Linked DNA regions of Cricetulus griseus. The protein of the gene in region 1 purifies or fractionates together with the protein of each later gene. This does not show direct contact. Links are inferred from orthologs where the notes say so. Each region holds a gene or a part of one and is shown in the gene's direction. Other genes may lie near its edges.

What was found.
Region 2: the proteins of Stx8 (region 1) and Napa purify together in Homo sapiens (affinity purification with mass spectrometry; 4 studies listed by BioGRID and IntAct, with this or other methods). This does not show direct contact. The link is inferred for Cricetulus griseus from reciprocal best matches to the Homo sapiens genes STX8 and NAPA.
Region 3: the proteins of Stx8 (region 1) and Stx12 purify together in Homo sapiens (affinity purification with mass spectrometry; 3 studies listed by BioGRID and IntAct, counting the BioPlex papers as one, with this or other methods). This does not show direct contact. The link is inferred for Cricetulus griseus from reciprocal best matches to the Homo sapiens genes STX8 and STX12.
Region 4: the proteins of Stx8 (region 1) and Vamp7 purify together in Homo sapiens (affinity purification with western blotting; 3 studies listed by BioGRID and IntAct, with this or other methods). This does not show direct contact. The link is inferred for Cricetulus griseus from reciprocal best matches to the Homo sapiens genes STX8 and VAMP7.

What each region holds. Positions count from the first base shown.
Region 1 is NC_048600.1:81,830,588-81,834,826, forward strand, and holds the start of Stx8 (syntaxin-8), read left to right. Parts: upstream 1-1,439; 5' UTR 1,440-1,557; coding exon 1,558-1,574; intron 1,575-4,239. Other genes in the region: Cfap52 (cilia- and flagella-associated protein 52), read right to left, coding at 582-657. UniProt on the Homo sapiens protein: Vesicle trafficking protein that functions in the early secretory pathway, possibly by mediating retrograde transport from cis-Golgi membranes to the ER.
Region 2 is NC_048602.1:10,772,293-10,775,792, forward strand, and holds part of Napa (alpha-soluble NSF attachment protein), read left to right. Parts: intron 1-786; coding exon 787-903; intron 904-3,500. UniProt on the Homo sapiens protein: Required for vesicular transport between the endoplasmic reticulum and the Golgi apparatus. Together with GNA12 promotes CDH5 localization to plasma membrane.
Region 3 is NC_048595.1:20,412,087-20,415,586, forward strand, and holds part of Stx12 (syntaxin-12), read left to right. Parts: intron 1-1,289; coding exon 1,290-1,395; intron 1,396-3,500. UniProt on the Homo sapiens protein: SNARE promoting fusion of transport vesicles with target membranes. Together with SNARE STX6, promotes movement of vesicles from endosomes to the cell membrane, and may therefore function in the endocytic recycling pathway.
Region 4 is NC_048604.1:48,804-52,303, reverse strand, and holds part of Vamp7 (vesicle-associated membrane protein 7), read left to right. Parts: intron 1-282; coding exon 283-340; intron 341-3,152; coding exon 3,153-3,290; intron 3,291-3,500. UniProt on the Homo sapiens protein: Involved in the targeting and/or fusion of transport vesicles to their target membrane during transport of proteins from the early endosome to the lysosome. Required for heterotypic fusion of late endosomes with lysosomes and homotypic lysosomal fusion.

The sequences.
Region 1 (4,239 bases):
GACAGCCACAAGTAATGACAGCGGCCAGGCCTCTCCAGAATCAACAAGGACTCTCCCTTGGCGGTCTCCCTTTACGTCCTCTTCCCTCCCATCCCTGTCTTTTAAACCTTTGAGAGTCCTTACTTGGGACAGAGGACACAGAGCACCCCTAGAGCAGTTCCACCTAAGGCCTTTCTCAACTGTAGATCAGCAAGGGGTGTGGAAAGGTGTTTTTTTGTTTGTTTGTTTGTTTGTTTGTTTGCCCCAGGTTGGGTGTTACCCGGGGATGCATGGGGGTGGGGGTTGGGGGAATATTCAGAGCCAAGGACTGCTCCCAGGGGTGCGTGTGTGTGCGCGTATGAGAGAGAGAGAGAGAGAGAGAGAGAGAGAGAGAGAGAGAGAGAGAGAGAGAGAGAGAGAGAGAGAGAGAGAGACTGAGTTAGGCACATTCCAATTTCTGAGGCTCGGGAATGAGGCTAAGATCCTTCATCACCGTGGGTGATGCCTGGCTAGGCTCTTGCCACTGTCCCCACGGCCTCTCAGGTGCCACCAAGTCAGTGTCTCACTTGTCCCTGGGGTATTATGGATGCTCCAGGCCTCACCATTGAAGCCGATCACAGCCTCAAGCTCCAGTTCGGCTACGTCGGTCTCGGTTTCGGGTAAATTTTGTTCTTCCATCTTGGAGAATTTCAACTCATTGATTCCTCAACTCCTGGCTGCAGCGTCTTTTGGTCGTTATGGTAACTGGCGCACGCATGCGTGCTAGGTTTACGCTGGAGCAGAAATCCAGCCCACTGAGTTCGACTTTATTTACCTTTTTGTAAATGTAGGGAGGGCTTCCTTATTATTTTTTTCACTCATTCTAGAAATTTAGGTGTTAGGTGAATACTGAATATGCAGAATGAATTCCCTCGTCTCCCGTGTAAACTCTGACTTTTGTCTTAACTATAAAATTAAGCCTCTTATGGTAACTATTAAAAGTAATTGAACACAGAGAATTGCCTCTGATGCGTAGGCTGCTATTAAAAAACAAAACAAAACAAAACACGGAATTGATACCTCCTTGTAAAAGAATTCTTTTTGAAAAGATCACTTTAAAAATTTAAGTACAGTATGCAACTATTTTCATGTATGTATCACTATGAACGTTGCTTGTATGAATATTTCCGGCTTCAACCTTCCAAGCACGGCAAATTCAGGCGCGAGGTATCACAGCCGGCTTGCTCTGTTGTTTTTGAATCAGAAAAAAAGAAAAAAAAAAAATGCGAAGAACTACGAGAGCCGGAGTCTGAAGCGCTTCCATCCCTGGGAAAAGGTTTTGATTCTGCTCAACAATTTAACCATTTTCCTTGCGTCCAGCAGTTCGTACGAATTAACTAAAAATCGATTGTTGCAATCCACTGTCTCCCAGGGGTGAGCTTTGGTTGGTGTGGTTTTGAGGCCCCTAAAATATGTTTTCTGTGCTGTCCGCTGGGCTCGGGTCGCGCACCTTCCGAACTGCGGGGAATGAGCCGCGCGGGCCGCCGTAGTCAGCTGCTGTGAGCAGGAAGTGTCCCAGCTGCAGGCGGAGACTGCACCATGGCCCCGGACCCCTGGTGAGTTGCTGGTGTTGGCAGTAGTTTGCCGTAGGACTTGGGGTGGAAGTGGCTCCCAGGGATTCGCATAAACCCTGGCCATCGTTGAACTTGAGGCTGTCAGCTTTTAGGGGTGAGCAAAGCGGGTGAGGATCCTTTCCCTGTTTTGGGGACCCAACCACATCCCGCCTCCCCGGCGCTAACTCGGTGGTCGGAGGGGGACACCGTGACCTGGGGGAGCTGGGACTTGAGCAGAATCGATATTTTCCCCCGCCTTCTGTGGGGGCTTCTCGCCTAACCTGCCTGTGGATGACTGCGTGTGTAGACTCCCCTGGGGTCCTGTAAAAGTGAAGTAGAAATAACCTTTTGGTGGGATGTCTCTGCCTTCACCCATTAATCCCCAGAAAGGGAAGAAACTGAGGTTCAGACTCCATGGTCCCCAGCCAGTTAGTAGTTAGCTGGGCATAGGTGTAATGGGCTCTTCACAATAAGACTTGTAGCAATCTGGGAGGGAAGTTTGCACTTGTGATAGGCAGTTTACCCTTTCCTGTGTCAGTATCATGAAGACTTAACGTCAGCAAGAACTAGTGCAAAAGTCAGCACCCGATAAGGGCCATTTATTCAGCAATGAAGCCCCAAGGAAAGAATGAAGAAAATGTGTTCACACAAGGAACACATTGCTATACAGTCTTGACCTTCCTGTTTAATAATTTATAACATTGTATTTCTATAAAGTTCTTGTTGGAGGATATGCCTTATGTGGGTGTTTCTGGTACAGTTTATAATTGTTTGATGGCAGACAATTTTAAGTATTAGGAGAGTGGATCCCAAGGTCAGAGTTAGAGTTACCTGGGATTTGAGATATTTGGGCTAGTTGCTGAAATTTTCTTGGGCTTTCATTTGTTTGTGTGCTTTGTTTCCATTGTCTCAGAGAGCCCAGTCTGACCTTAAATTCCTGATCCTCTTGCTTCAGTCTAAGTGGTTCGATTACATGCAGCCACCATGCCCAGGAAATTGCTGAATTTAACACTTCTTACTCCCCCCCACACACAAGTTTCAACAATTGTGTACACCCCTGGTAGAAAATTTGGAGACTACTGAGTATCTGCAGGAAAGAAAATAAATAGCATCTTCATCATTTGGAAAGAACCAATGTTAACTTCTTTTGAAGACTTTTATTGTTTGAATCTATATCCTGCTTGTATTTTACACAACAGGAAGCGTGTCTCCATATCATTAAGTAGTATTTAAAAATGATTTTTACATGCATATCAGTACATCATCTGAATGTTCATATATTTCAGTTTTTCTCAGTGGTAGAACTTACTACATGCAAGGCTTTGAGTTTGGTCACCAGCAACACAAGAAAGCTTTCAACTGTCAAATGAGAAAGCCACTGAGTAAAACAATTGAGACTAACAGTAAAAGAGTTCTAATGCTTCAGTGTCTTGGGGTAAAATTCCCCTGAGTCAGATCTCATTAGACTACTGTGCCAAGTTCTGTAGAAACTGACCTCTGCTAATCTGTCCTATTTAAATGTACCCTGCTAACAGGGCCAGTACTTGGTCAGGCATGCTTTCTTCAATTCTTCTGTGCTTGTGCTTTCCATGGTGTTTAGATTTCACCCCTCCTTCCAGTATGGAAATCTGCTTTAGTCTGGAAGTCAGCCCAAGATGTCCTCTTGCAGCCCAGCCAATCTGAGCACCTCTGACATCAGTAATGTCTCCCATCCTAACTCCAGAGGTACTTAATTTAGGTCTCGTATTTGATGGAATTGTGTTATGGATTTTATATGTTTGATCTGCCCTTACAGAGCAAGACTAAGCTCCTGTCTTCATAGCTGATAGTGTGAAGGCAAACAAGTAAAATGTGGGGAATCCGGGGCTAGGACTATTTTCCTTATTGCCTCTCTTTTTAAAAAATTTTATATATAAGCCAGGTGGTGGTGGCAAACACCTTATATCCCAGCACTCAGGAGGCAGAGGCAGGCAGATCTGTGTGAGTTTGAGACCAGCCTAGTCTACAAGAGCTAGTTCCAGGACAGCCTCCAAAGCCACAAAGAAATCCTGCCTCCAACACCCCCCCCAAAAAAACATATATAATATATATTAACCACCTGCTCTTTTTCATACACATACCTATACCTGAATATACTGAATGATGCATATTGATGTATATGTGAGTCTAGGGTTAGGGGTGACACTGTCTCTGAAGTGCTTGTGAAGTTCACAACAAAGTTCTCTCTGTAGGACCTGGAGCCACATCCCCAGCCCAAGTTAAACACTTTTCTTCTTTCTGATGCTGGTGATTGAGTCTCGTGCACTGAGCTATGCCTTTATTCACTTTTTAAAAAAGTTTGAGACGTTTCGTTAAGTTACTTCAACCTTACGGTCTGCTCCTTTAAAAGCTTCTCTCTTTGGCTTGTTGGCGTCTCATTTCCCCACCATGGAGTGAGATCCAAGCTGGCCAGCTTGAACAATAAAAACAAACCTTTTGCTTTTGCATCAGTGTCTACTCCTGGGATTGGTATGGGACTCCTTGAACCTGGCACAACATTTTCTTTTCTTCTCTCTCTCTCTCTCTCTCTCTCTCTCTCTCTCTCTCTCTCTCTCTCTCTCTCTCTCTGTGTGTGTGTGTGTGTGTGTGTGTGTAGACCAGGCTGGCCTTGAACTCACAGAACTCTGCC
Region 2 (3,500 bases), on another chromosome or scaffold:
TGGAGGCTCCCACTCAGCTGGGACTGGAGGAGCATGCAAAGTAGTGCCTTAGCTGAGGTGGTATTGGAGCACCACCCACAGCAGGGAAAACCCTGCTGCCTCCCCTTAGCCAGTCTAGGGGAGGTCTGAGCAAAATGGTGTGGAGCCCATGGCTGCCTCGGGCATTAGCACTGTCTGCGCGGACTCTGGCTCTTGCTGTCCTCGTCCTGTTTCCCTTTCTAGCAAGGACTCAGACATAGCAGGGGTGCACCTGAGAGCTTTGGGGAGTTGTGGAGGACAGAAATGGGCTAGGAAAGGGAGCAAGTGGGAAGTGTCACATGGGTTGATCTCACCTGTGCCTTCCCAGAGCACATCCCTTCCCCCCCCCCCAATCGCCCCATCCCCACCTTTAGTTCAGGTTCTGGGCTTCCCTGTTCAAAGAGCCCAAGAGCCTGGGTGTCATGTCTCATGTATTTGCAGCCCTCAGCTCTCTGTCTGTCTTTCCTTCCTCTCTGTGGAAGTGGTGGCTCTGGAGGTGCCGGCAGAGGGGGGGGGGACATGGGTTTGGCACTGTGTTTACCTGGCTGTTTCTGTGCCCCTGGGCTCAGGCTTCCCCCGAGGCTGCTTCCTGACGTCCTCACTCTACCAGGTGCATACCACCAGGAAGCTCTGTGAGGGGTTCAGGCTGCTTTTGGGCTGGAGTGGGCTGATCTTGGCCTCTACCTGTATTCTAATTGTGAGCCTAATGTGCCTCTCTGGGCAGTGACTGCAACTGCATTGAAGCTGGGACGATCTGTTCTATTCCAGCTGCCGGGAACGCTTTCTGCCAGGCTGCCCAGCTGCACCTACAGCTCCAGAGCAAGCATGATGCAGCTACCTGCTTCGTGGACGCAGGCAACGCTTTCAAGAAAGCCGACCCACAAGGTAACCTCTGTGAGCCACAGCTGGCAGAGCAGCTGAGCACTGTCCCCACATCCTTGGGTCTATACAGAGCTGGGTTTTTCCAGTAGTTGACACATGATAGGCCAGGAGCAAAACAAGCCCCAAATTCAGAATTGGCTGGTCCTTGGCTGACATTGGCATCCTGCCCTCTCTCCCCACCCCCCACCCCCACCCTGGTGTGCAGCCCTCACCCCCTCCTGGGCTTCGAGCATTTGGTAGTGGGAGTTCCATCTCAGGCCCACTCCTTGCCAGGGAGCCAGGCAAAGCTGTTCAGTTGTCAGAATTAGCATGCAGAAGGAAGCAGGGAGCAGGGAGGGGGGCAGTCCCAGATGAACCAGGTAGAGCGGAAGTCAGCCTGACCTGCCTTCCCAGCACACCAGAAGGAAGCAGAGAGAGCAAGCCTGGAGTGAGCTGCCAGAGCCCAGTTCCTTAAAGCAGAGCCTATGACATAGGAGCCTGGTTAGGCCAAAGCACAGCCCATGGACCTCAGACTTGAGATTTCCAGGCTGAGGAATTTGCTTTTGGTATTTTTGTTCACTTATTTTTGTGGTGCTGGGAATGGAGCCTGGACCTCTGTGTGCTGCAAATGTGTTGTACATGTCCCCAGTTCTTTTTGGTTCTTTTTGAAAATGGTTCTTTTTGAAAATCTTAGAGCTACATAGATGACTAACTTTAAATTTCAGCACGCACAGGTATTTGTTTGTTTGTTTGTTTGTTTGTTTAATTGGCCATCTAAGCTAGTCATGGCAGTGCCTGCCTGTCGTCCCAGAGTTTGGGAAGTAGGGACAGGAAGATCAGACACTCAGCTATCCTTAGCTCTTGGCTACATAGTGAGTTTGAGGCCAGCCTGGGTTACATGAGACTGTGTCTCATAAATAAATCTTTAAAGTATCCAGGCTGTTTCTCTCAGGAGAGTGGGAAAGAAGTGACTGTTCTTTCCCAAAGGAGAGGCTTGGGGTCTGGGTGAAAGCCCACCTCTGAGGAGAAGAGAAGACAAGCACCTCGGTCCTCCCCAGCATCAGTGGATGTCAGCCGTCATTGTCACAGGACCACTCCCAATTAGAGAGATGACTGTGGTGACTCTGTCCCTGGGCTGACTGGTCACTCCTGTTTGTTTAGCTATGATGTGTGGCTCAGGCCTGACAAACAGAGAGGGACGGATGGCCTTTCAGCCAGGACTTAGATACACCCAGTGACTCAGGGCAGTCCTCTCCCCCACAGAGCCGTCCCCACACTTTCCCTTCTGCTCCCTGGGGAACTGGTTGGCCTGGAGATGCTGCCTGGCATCTGTGCCCTTCAGCTGCTGCTCCAGCCGGAATGGCCGGGAGGACTTGTTCCTAGGTGGCAGTGGATGCCAACCTGCAGGATGCCATAGCTGCCCCTCCCAGCTTGTGGTCATGTCCTTTTTCTCTCGGGACCCAGGCATGGGCCCCGGCCTCAGCAAGTCCAAGCTGATGGGAAAGTATTGAGGGTGCTGCAGCCAAGGGTGTGAGTGAAGGTAGAGAGGGGCCGACTTGCCTCACGGGGAAAGCACAGTTGTGAGGGGAGCGCTTCTGGTGTTAAGGGCTAGGGACTCAGCCACGTGGCATCCAGCGCTGCTGCCTTGCTGCCCTGCCCAGTCACAGTTCCACATATGAGGGGAAGGGGGTGCATTTGCACGGTTGACAGCTCTTCTGCGGGGCCAGTCAGGGCTCACAGAGAAGAGTGACCAAGCAGGGGAGGACATGCCCAGGTGGTCTGAGCAGATCACTCCCCCTCCTCCAAGGAACCCAGTGGGGACTTGTGCTGCCCCACTACACTTCAGCCTAGCCGTCACTCTGCTGTGTTCTCTCTTCAGTGATAGCACACACCTACTGTGAGCTGTACACAGCAATTCATTCCTGGCATCCAGAAGGGGGCAGCCCCTGGCACCAGAGCCTCCCTGCATGGCTGGGTGCCCTGGGAAACAACTGGATGACCAGTGGAGGCTTGAACCCCCAGTTTCTTCAGGAAGGACCTCCCTTAGCTAGCTGTGAGATCCCCTGCCCTGGGGTCTGGTCCATCAGCTCTTTAGGAATCTCGCCTGAGCTGCTTGCCTGAGGCCTGGGAATGTGACCCTTTTAGAGCAGGAGCTCTAAATGAGCTGTGAATGTGCACGGGCAGGGAAGCAGTCTGGCTTCCTATCTACCTATCCCCACCGCCTCATTGGAGCTCGTGGTTTGTCCCTAGTTTGTTGTGGACGGTGCTTGCTTAGATCTGCATGTGATCAGGGGCTTCAGGGTGATGCGGAGGTGAGCCGGGCTCTGTAACTCCCTACCTGCTCTGGACAGGCTGAGCACAAGAGGGTGGGAATAGACCAAGGGCCCTACTATTTACCTTCAAGGTTTCACTGAGGCCTGTGGCATCAGATAAGCCCTGTGGTAAGAGCAGGCCCGGGTGTCAGCTGGCAGCCTACTACTTTCCAAGCTGTTCCCAGAGCAAGGGGCCAGCATAAGAGGACTAGGCCCTGTGAATCCATGTTTCTCCCCCACTGCCGTGGCAGGGACTGTCCCACCAATAGAGCCTATGCCAACAGACCTTGGCTACCGAAGTCTCCTCAA
Region 3 (3,500 bases), on another chromosome or scaffold:
GATATGTATTCATCTCTTACATTATATTGTGGACACCTCAAAGCCTAAAGGACATGCTTTAAATATTATATATTTAAATAATATGATTTATACATATTGTTGAGAAAATGTGTAAGGGCTAGAAAGATGGCTCAGTGTGTAAACGCACATGCTGCCAAGGCTGACACCCTGGACACCATGGTGGAAGGGAAGAAATGACTCCTAGAGGTTGTCCTCTGGCCTCCACTTACTTGTACATGTGTGTGCACATACAATTAAAATAAATGTACTGGGCATGGTGGCTCATGCCTTTAGGGAGGCAGAGACAGGTGGACCTCTGAGTTCAAGACTATGGTTTACATAATGAGTCTATGTAATTCCCCCCTGTTTTTGGAGACAGGTTACTATGTAGCCCTGGCTGGCCTGAAGCTTGCTTTGTAGGCCTGGCTGGCCTTCAACTCAAAGAGATCCAACTGCCTCTGTCTCCTGGGTGCTGGGATTAAAGGTGTATACTACCACACCCAGCCTATACATGTAATGATTTTTTAAAATTTGCTTTATTTTTATTTTATGTGCCTTGGTGTTTTGTCTGTATGTATGTCTGTGTGAGAGTGTTAGATCTTTTGGAATTGTATTACTGTTTCAGACATTTGTGAACTGCCATGTGGATGCTGGGAATCGAACCTATGTCCTCTGGAAGAGCAGCCAGTGCTCTTAACCACTGAGCCATCTCTTCAGCTCATAATGATTTTTTTTTAAAGAGTCAATTATATAATATTGAATTTTCCAAGTATTTTTTAATTTAATAAATAGCACACTTTTCTTCTAAGTACCTGAAAATATCAAGCTGCAAAAATTTTATTAGCTTTTAGTTTGGCTTTCTGTTAAATGGGGTCTATCCCAAAACAGTCTCAAGGAACTTCCTAGGAAGCTGTTTGGTGGCTGAGTCTGTTTTCCTCCATTCATTTACTGCTCCTTTACACAGTTTGTTCTTTGAGAGTGCCCTGGAGAGCTGGTCAGTACACTTCATTGAGTTTGAACCTGCGGATACTTCCCTTGTCTGGAAAAAGTATCCCTAAGTGGAAAAGGCAAAGTGGCCTGTCCTCCATAATTCTGCCTCATCTCAGTTTTGCCTATGACTGAAATTTAATTTTCTTGGTATTACATCCTTGTCTCTGAATTTTGTATTGCTAGTAGAAGAGTTGGGTCCTGGGTAATGTCTGTGTAGTTCCTGCTGTCAGCAGAGATGTAGTTATATCTCCTCGTACCTTAGAGAGAAGGAATCAACTGGAGTGCTTGTCTCCCTGTAGCCATGAGGAGTGGAACCAGATGCAGAGCCAGGAGGATGAGGCGGCCATCACTGAGCAAGACCTGGAACTTATTAAAGAGAGGGAAACGGCGATTCGGCAGCTAGAGGTAAAAGGCAGCCTGTGGCTTTTGTTTGGCTTGGGTGTCTGCAGGTATCTGGAGTGTTTTTGCTGGATTAATATGAAAAGGGCTGGATTGAGTCTTTGTACTTTATATTATCTGTCCCTTTAGTCATGGCAGAATTGAATTACTGCTATGTGCTGCTGGCCCGGGCACTCAGGAGCACCCAGATTCTTCCTCAAACTCCACTTAGCACATGGTCTCCAAGGAAACAGCAAGGCAGATAGTACTGTGTTGTTTCCTAGAACTTTCCTCATCTCAATAGCAGTCTTCAGGTTAAGTAGGATTCTGTGGAAAGCTCCTTTTAATAGGCAGTCCAAAGTTCTTTTGGTTTTGTTTGTTTGTTTGTTTGTTTTTGTTTATTTTTTGGTTTTTCGAGACAGGGTTTCTCTGTGTAGCTTTGGAGCCTATCCTGGCACTCGCTCTGTAGACCAGGCTGGCCTCGAACTCACAGAGATCTGCCTGCCTCTGCCTCCTGAGTGCTGGGATTAAAGGCGAGCGCCACCACCGCCCGGCTAGGCCAAAGTTCTTGCTCTATTTTTGTACATTATGAAGTCCAATTCTGGGTCTAGAGAGAACAACCAGTGGTTACAACACTGGTTGTTCTTTCAAGAGGACCCGTGTTCAATTCCCAGCACCCACATGGCAGCTCCTAACTGTCTGTAACTCCAGTTCCAGGGTACCCAACACCCTTATACAGACATACATGCAGGCAAAACACCAGTGCATATAAAATAAATAAATAGTATAGTGTCCAATTCCAAGTATAGCTCTTGTCACTTCAGTGGATCAGAGTTGGAGCCTTTTTTGATGTGGGATTGAGAGAGAGTTTTGTAGACTGTTCTTGGCTCCCTGAGCTCCACCATGATCAAGGTAACATATAAAAACATTTTTTAAATGCTGTTAAAGGTATGCTCATATGTTGCAGTGTTCTGAATGTGTATTGTCCCAGTTGGTGGAATGTTTAGGAGGTGTGCTTTAAACTTTAAAAAATTTTAAATTTAGTTTATTGTTTATTTATTTTGTTTATGGGTGCTCCACTTAGCGCACTCCACTTAGGGGATCAGAAGAGGGAGTCAGATCCCTTGGGATTAGAATTCTGGGTAGTTGTGAGCTGCCTTGTGTGTGTGTGTGCTGGGAACCGAACCTGGGTCCTCTATAAGAGCAATAATTGCTCTTAACCGCTGATTCATGTCTCCAGGCTCTAAAAGAAAGCATTTAATTGGGAGCTTGCTTACAGTGTCAAATGATGAGTCCATGACCATCATGACGGGGAGCATGGCAATAGGCAGGGAGGCATGCCATTGCAGCAGTAGCTGAGAGCTTACATCTGATCCACGAATTGGAGGCAAAGAGAGAGTGAGACTGGGCCTGGCGTGGGCGCTTAGAATCGCAAAGCCCACTTCCAGTGAAACACCTCCTCTAACAAGGCTTTACCTCCTGATCCTTCCTAAATAGTCCACCAACTGCGACAATACTCAGACCACACACCCTATGAGCATACTTTTAACAGGCTAATCCCTTGCTCTTCTGCCTGACATGTGGCAGGCCATAGCTTATTACCTATGAGTAAGCAAAAACCTGAACCTGGAGAATCTTATTTCCATCACCGCCAGGAAAACTGCAGTTTAGCTCACCAAGCTGACTTGTCGTTAAACTTTTTCAGTCAGCTGCAGGTTTCCAAATGCTGTTGTCCTTTCACCCTACCAACTCTTCTCCACCGTCTAAGCTCTTTGTCAGTCAGTTGAAAGCTGTTTATATGGAGCATCATCCCAGTGACAATAGAAGCCAGTAGTCCTCACATAGATCCGGAATCAGTCCTGGGGGAACCAGCCCCTGGGTTGTGTGTCTTCCACTTGTTCCCCAGGCAGCACAGTCCTATAGAAGCCATTTGAATTCTCTGGTCTAAAGTCCTGGTGGTCACTGAAATTGGTCTGCTCCACGTAGAGCTGTGACACTGAGCACACTCCAGCACTCCAGTTTAGGCCTGAATGATCTTACTAGTTCTCAGGTAACATGTGCCGTTAGTTTTTTTGATGGGTGGGTTTCATGCCATCTGTTGTACAATATTAAGTAAACAGTAATAGAAGGTT
Region 4 (3,500 bases), on another chromosome or scaffold:
CTCTTCTGTAGGCCTTAAAAATCCATTTATGCTTTTGTAGTTAACATTTTAAATGTTAATGCACATGTTATTTAGGAACGAGAACCTCTTTTCACATTTTATTCATTCCTGTCAGTTTATCCAGAGATACAAATGTATAGGGGAGGGGAGGATGAGAATGAATTGTATTTGTAATTAATATAGTGAAGTTGGACATACTAAACTGGCATATATAGATAGAACTTAGAAGCAAAATAGATGATGTTTAAAATTACAATATGATTTATATCTTTTATTCTACAGTTACTTGTTTCATTACATCTGCCAAGACAGGATTGTGTATCTTTGTATCACTGATGATGTAAGTAACTTGAAGATATATTGCTATTTTACTATGCATACTAATACAGTCAATTATTAATTATCTATACCTATAGTGGCTAAAGATGATAAAAATTTGTAGCTTGAATTTTTTCTGCATTTTGCATTTATTATAAAGAGCATATTATGACAAAGTTTGATACTTGAATATGTATTATTTAGCTCAGTTTTGATAGTTTCTGCTTAATCTCTCTGAAAATTTACTACCCCATACAGTATTTTCAAATTAGCATTTATTATGATTGTTTTTGTTTTTTTAATCATTTTTTGAATCTTTAAAATTTATTCTTGGTTTGCAATATACCCTGACTGTAGTTTCCCCTGCCTCCACCTCCTCTGTTCCCCAGGTTCACTCCTGCTGTTTCCCTTCAGAAAAGAGCAGGCCTCCTAGGGCTATCCACTGAACATAGCGTAACAAGATACAATAAGACTAGCCATAGACCCTCATAACAAGGCTGGGCAAGGCAAGGAAGTAGAAAGAAAAGGGTCCAAGAGCAGATGGAAGAGTCAGTGACTCCCCCATTCCCACTGCTACAAGTCCCACAAAAACACCAAGCTAACAACCATAACATATGTGTAGAGGACCTAGTGTGAATCCATGCAGACTCTGTGGTTGCTGCTTCAGTCCCTGTGAGCCCTCCTTAGTTAATGTCTGTGGGTCATGTTCTCCTGGTATCCTTGGCCCCTCTGGCTCCTACAATTCTTCCTCCCCCTCTTTCCATGTGGTTCCCCAAGCTTCAAAGGGGAGGGACCCAATGGAGAGATCCAATTTGGCCTCTCTCTACCTAATGACTACGATTGTTATAAAAGCTTCTCAAAATGTTGACATTGAATATTAAATTAATTATTTAGTTCCTTCAGTCAATATTTAATAAATTTTTATATATCTGTACTTTAGAAAAACAGTATCATAGTGCATTATGATCAATGTACATGTGTAGTTTACATTGGTTAGGTTGTTTTCTGAGTATTTTGGCTATAAGTCCAGAATGTTCAGTAACTTAATGTCATCAAGAAACATTTTCATTATTCATTGTTAGTTTCTTACAAGTTCCCCTTATGGTTGCATGTAGCTACATGGCTACTTATTTATGTACAAAGAAGAGAGACAGAGGAAAATATGCCCCTCTCTTTTCTTTTGAAGTTAACTCCTTTTCATGCCATAATGGCCATGTGCTATTTCTAAGCTGTTCTCTGATAGAGTCATGGAATTAAATTAACATGATTTCTATAAATCAATGTTCTTAAATTTTCTTGTCACAGACTCCTTTATCCCTTGTGTTTATACCAAGAATGTTGTTAAAGGTATGAACTAGAACACACAGGAGTCTAAACAAAATCAATTCTACTTACATATAACATTCAATATATTTTAAAGGATATACTAATAAATATATTTCTTTATGACTTCATTGAATACCTGGTCATCAGCCTAATAATAATACTTTTGAAATGTTAATGCATGTAAACTATTTCAAAATACCTGTAACTGTGATAGCATATTAATAAATATTTCTGGAGATGACAAGCTATAGGTACTGTTTAATACTCCTTTGTTTTGTTACTTCCATTCAAAATTGAAATTTAACCTAAAGAATGATGAAAATAACAGTGTAATATTTCTTCGTATCCTAATACAAGTGCCCCTAGAATTCTGACCATTGATCCCAGTTCAAGAATCTGTGATGTAGTGGTGGAGTGATGGTTCAGTGAGTGGTTAAGAGCATTGGCTTCTCTTCCAGAGGACCCAGGTTAGAGCCTCAGCAACAACATGGTAGCTCACAAACATCCGTAACTTAGGAGATCTGGCACCCTCTTGCGGTCTCTAAGGCTATGCATACATGTGCTACATAGGCAAAAACACTCCCACACATAAAATAATGAAAAATCCTTGGTTTAAACTAAGTCAAAATGATGTTCAATTACATTGATCATCAAATGATTTTTTCCTCTGGTTTCACAATAAAGTCCAGCTGTATCTGTAAGGACTGATGTGAAATGCTTAAAATCGATGAGAACTGTCATAGAATATCAAATGGTCCAACTTGAGCAGCAAAACTCTTAAGCTGTGGTTTGTTGCATGTGTGCACACACACATATACACAACTTTTTGACTTCTGGTGAGTAGACAGGGTACGTCACTTGACCTTTTCAGATGTATCACTGCTATTAGAAAGTATTAGTTCAAAATCCATATCAATAGCATTATATTTATATATTAAATACCATAATCTTTTTAAAAATCTGTTTTTTATTTTGTTTAGGTGTATGTGTATTTCTATGTGTGAGAATGTCCACAGAGAGCAGAAGAGCAAATCAGATTCCTTGGAGATGGAGTTATAGGCAATTGTGAGCTGTCCAACCTGGATGCTGAGAACCAAACTTGGGTCCTCTCAAAGAGCAACAAGCATTCTTAACTACTGAGCCATCTCTCCAGCCTCCAAACTATACTATTTTTATTGATGTATTGAGCATCTTCTTATGCTAGACCTTGTGATCATGTGAAAGAACTGGAAGAATTGAAAATCAATTCCTGACCCCTGAGTTATTAATCTACATACCATTGTTTTTAGTTTGAATTTGGCTCTCAGCTTTTTAATTTATTAGCTGTTTGACCTGACAAGTTAGTTGTCTTTTTGTAGCTTTTGTTTCTTATCTATGAAGCAGGATCCGTTCTGCTTACTCCTCATGGAGTCAGTCATGAGTCAGTAAACATTATTGTTGTTATTACTAATCTGCCAAATATCTTTGTTTACTTTGTAAATATGAGTACAATATTGGTCACTTTACAGGATTTTGAGCGCTCTCGAGCCTTCAGTTTTCTGAATGAAGTAAAAAAGAGATTCCAAACTACTTACGGTTCAAGAGCACAGACTGCACTTCCATATGCCATGAATAGCGAGTTCTCGAGTGTTTTGGCTGCACAACTGGTAAGATTTTTCTCAGGACATAGTGTTTTAATTTGTATTTTCTTTTTTGTTAAATTCAAGCATCATGGATATAGGGGCCCAGACCTATAGAACACTTTTCTGATTGTGTCACTATAAGCCAACATAATAAAGCTCTCTATTAAAAGAGGTAAAGTGGTCATTTTAGTATAGATAGCTAGTTGGTGATTATTCTCTATTACTAATAGTCAG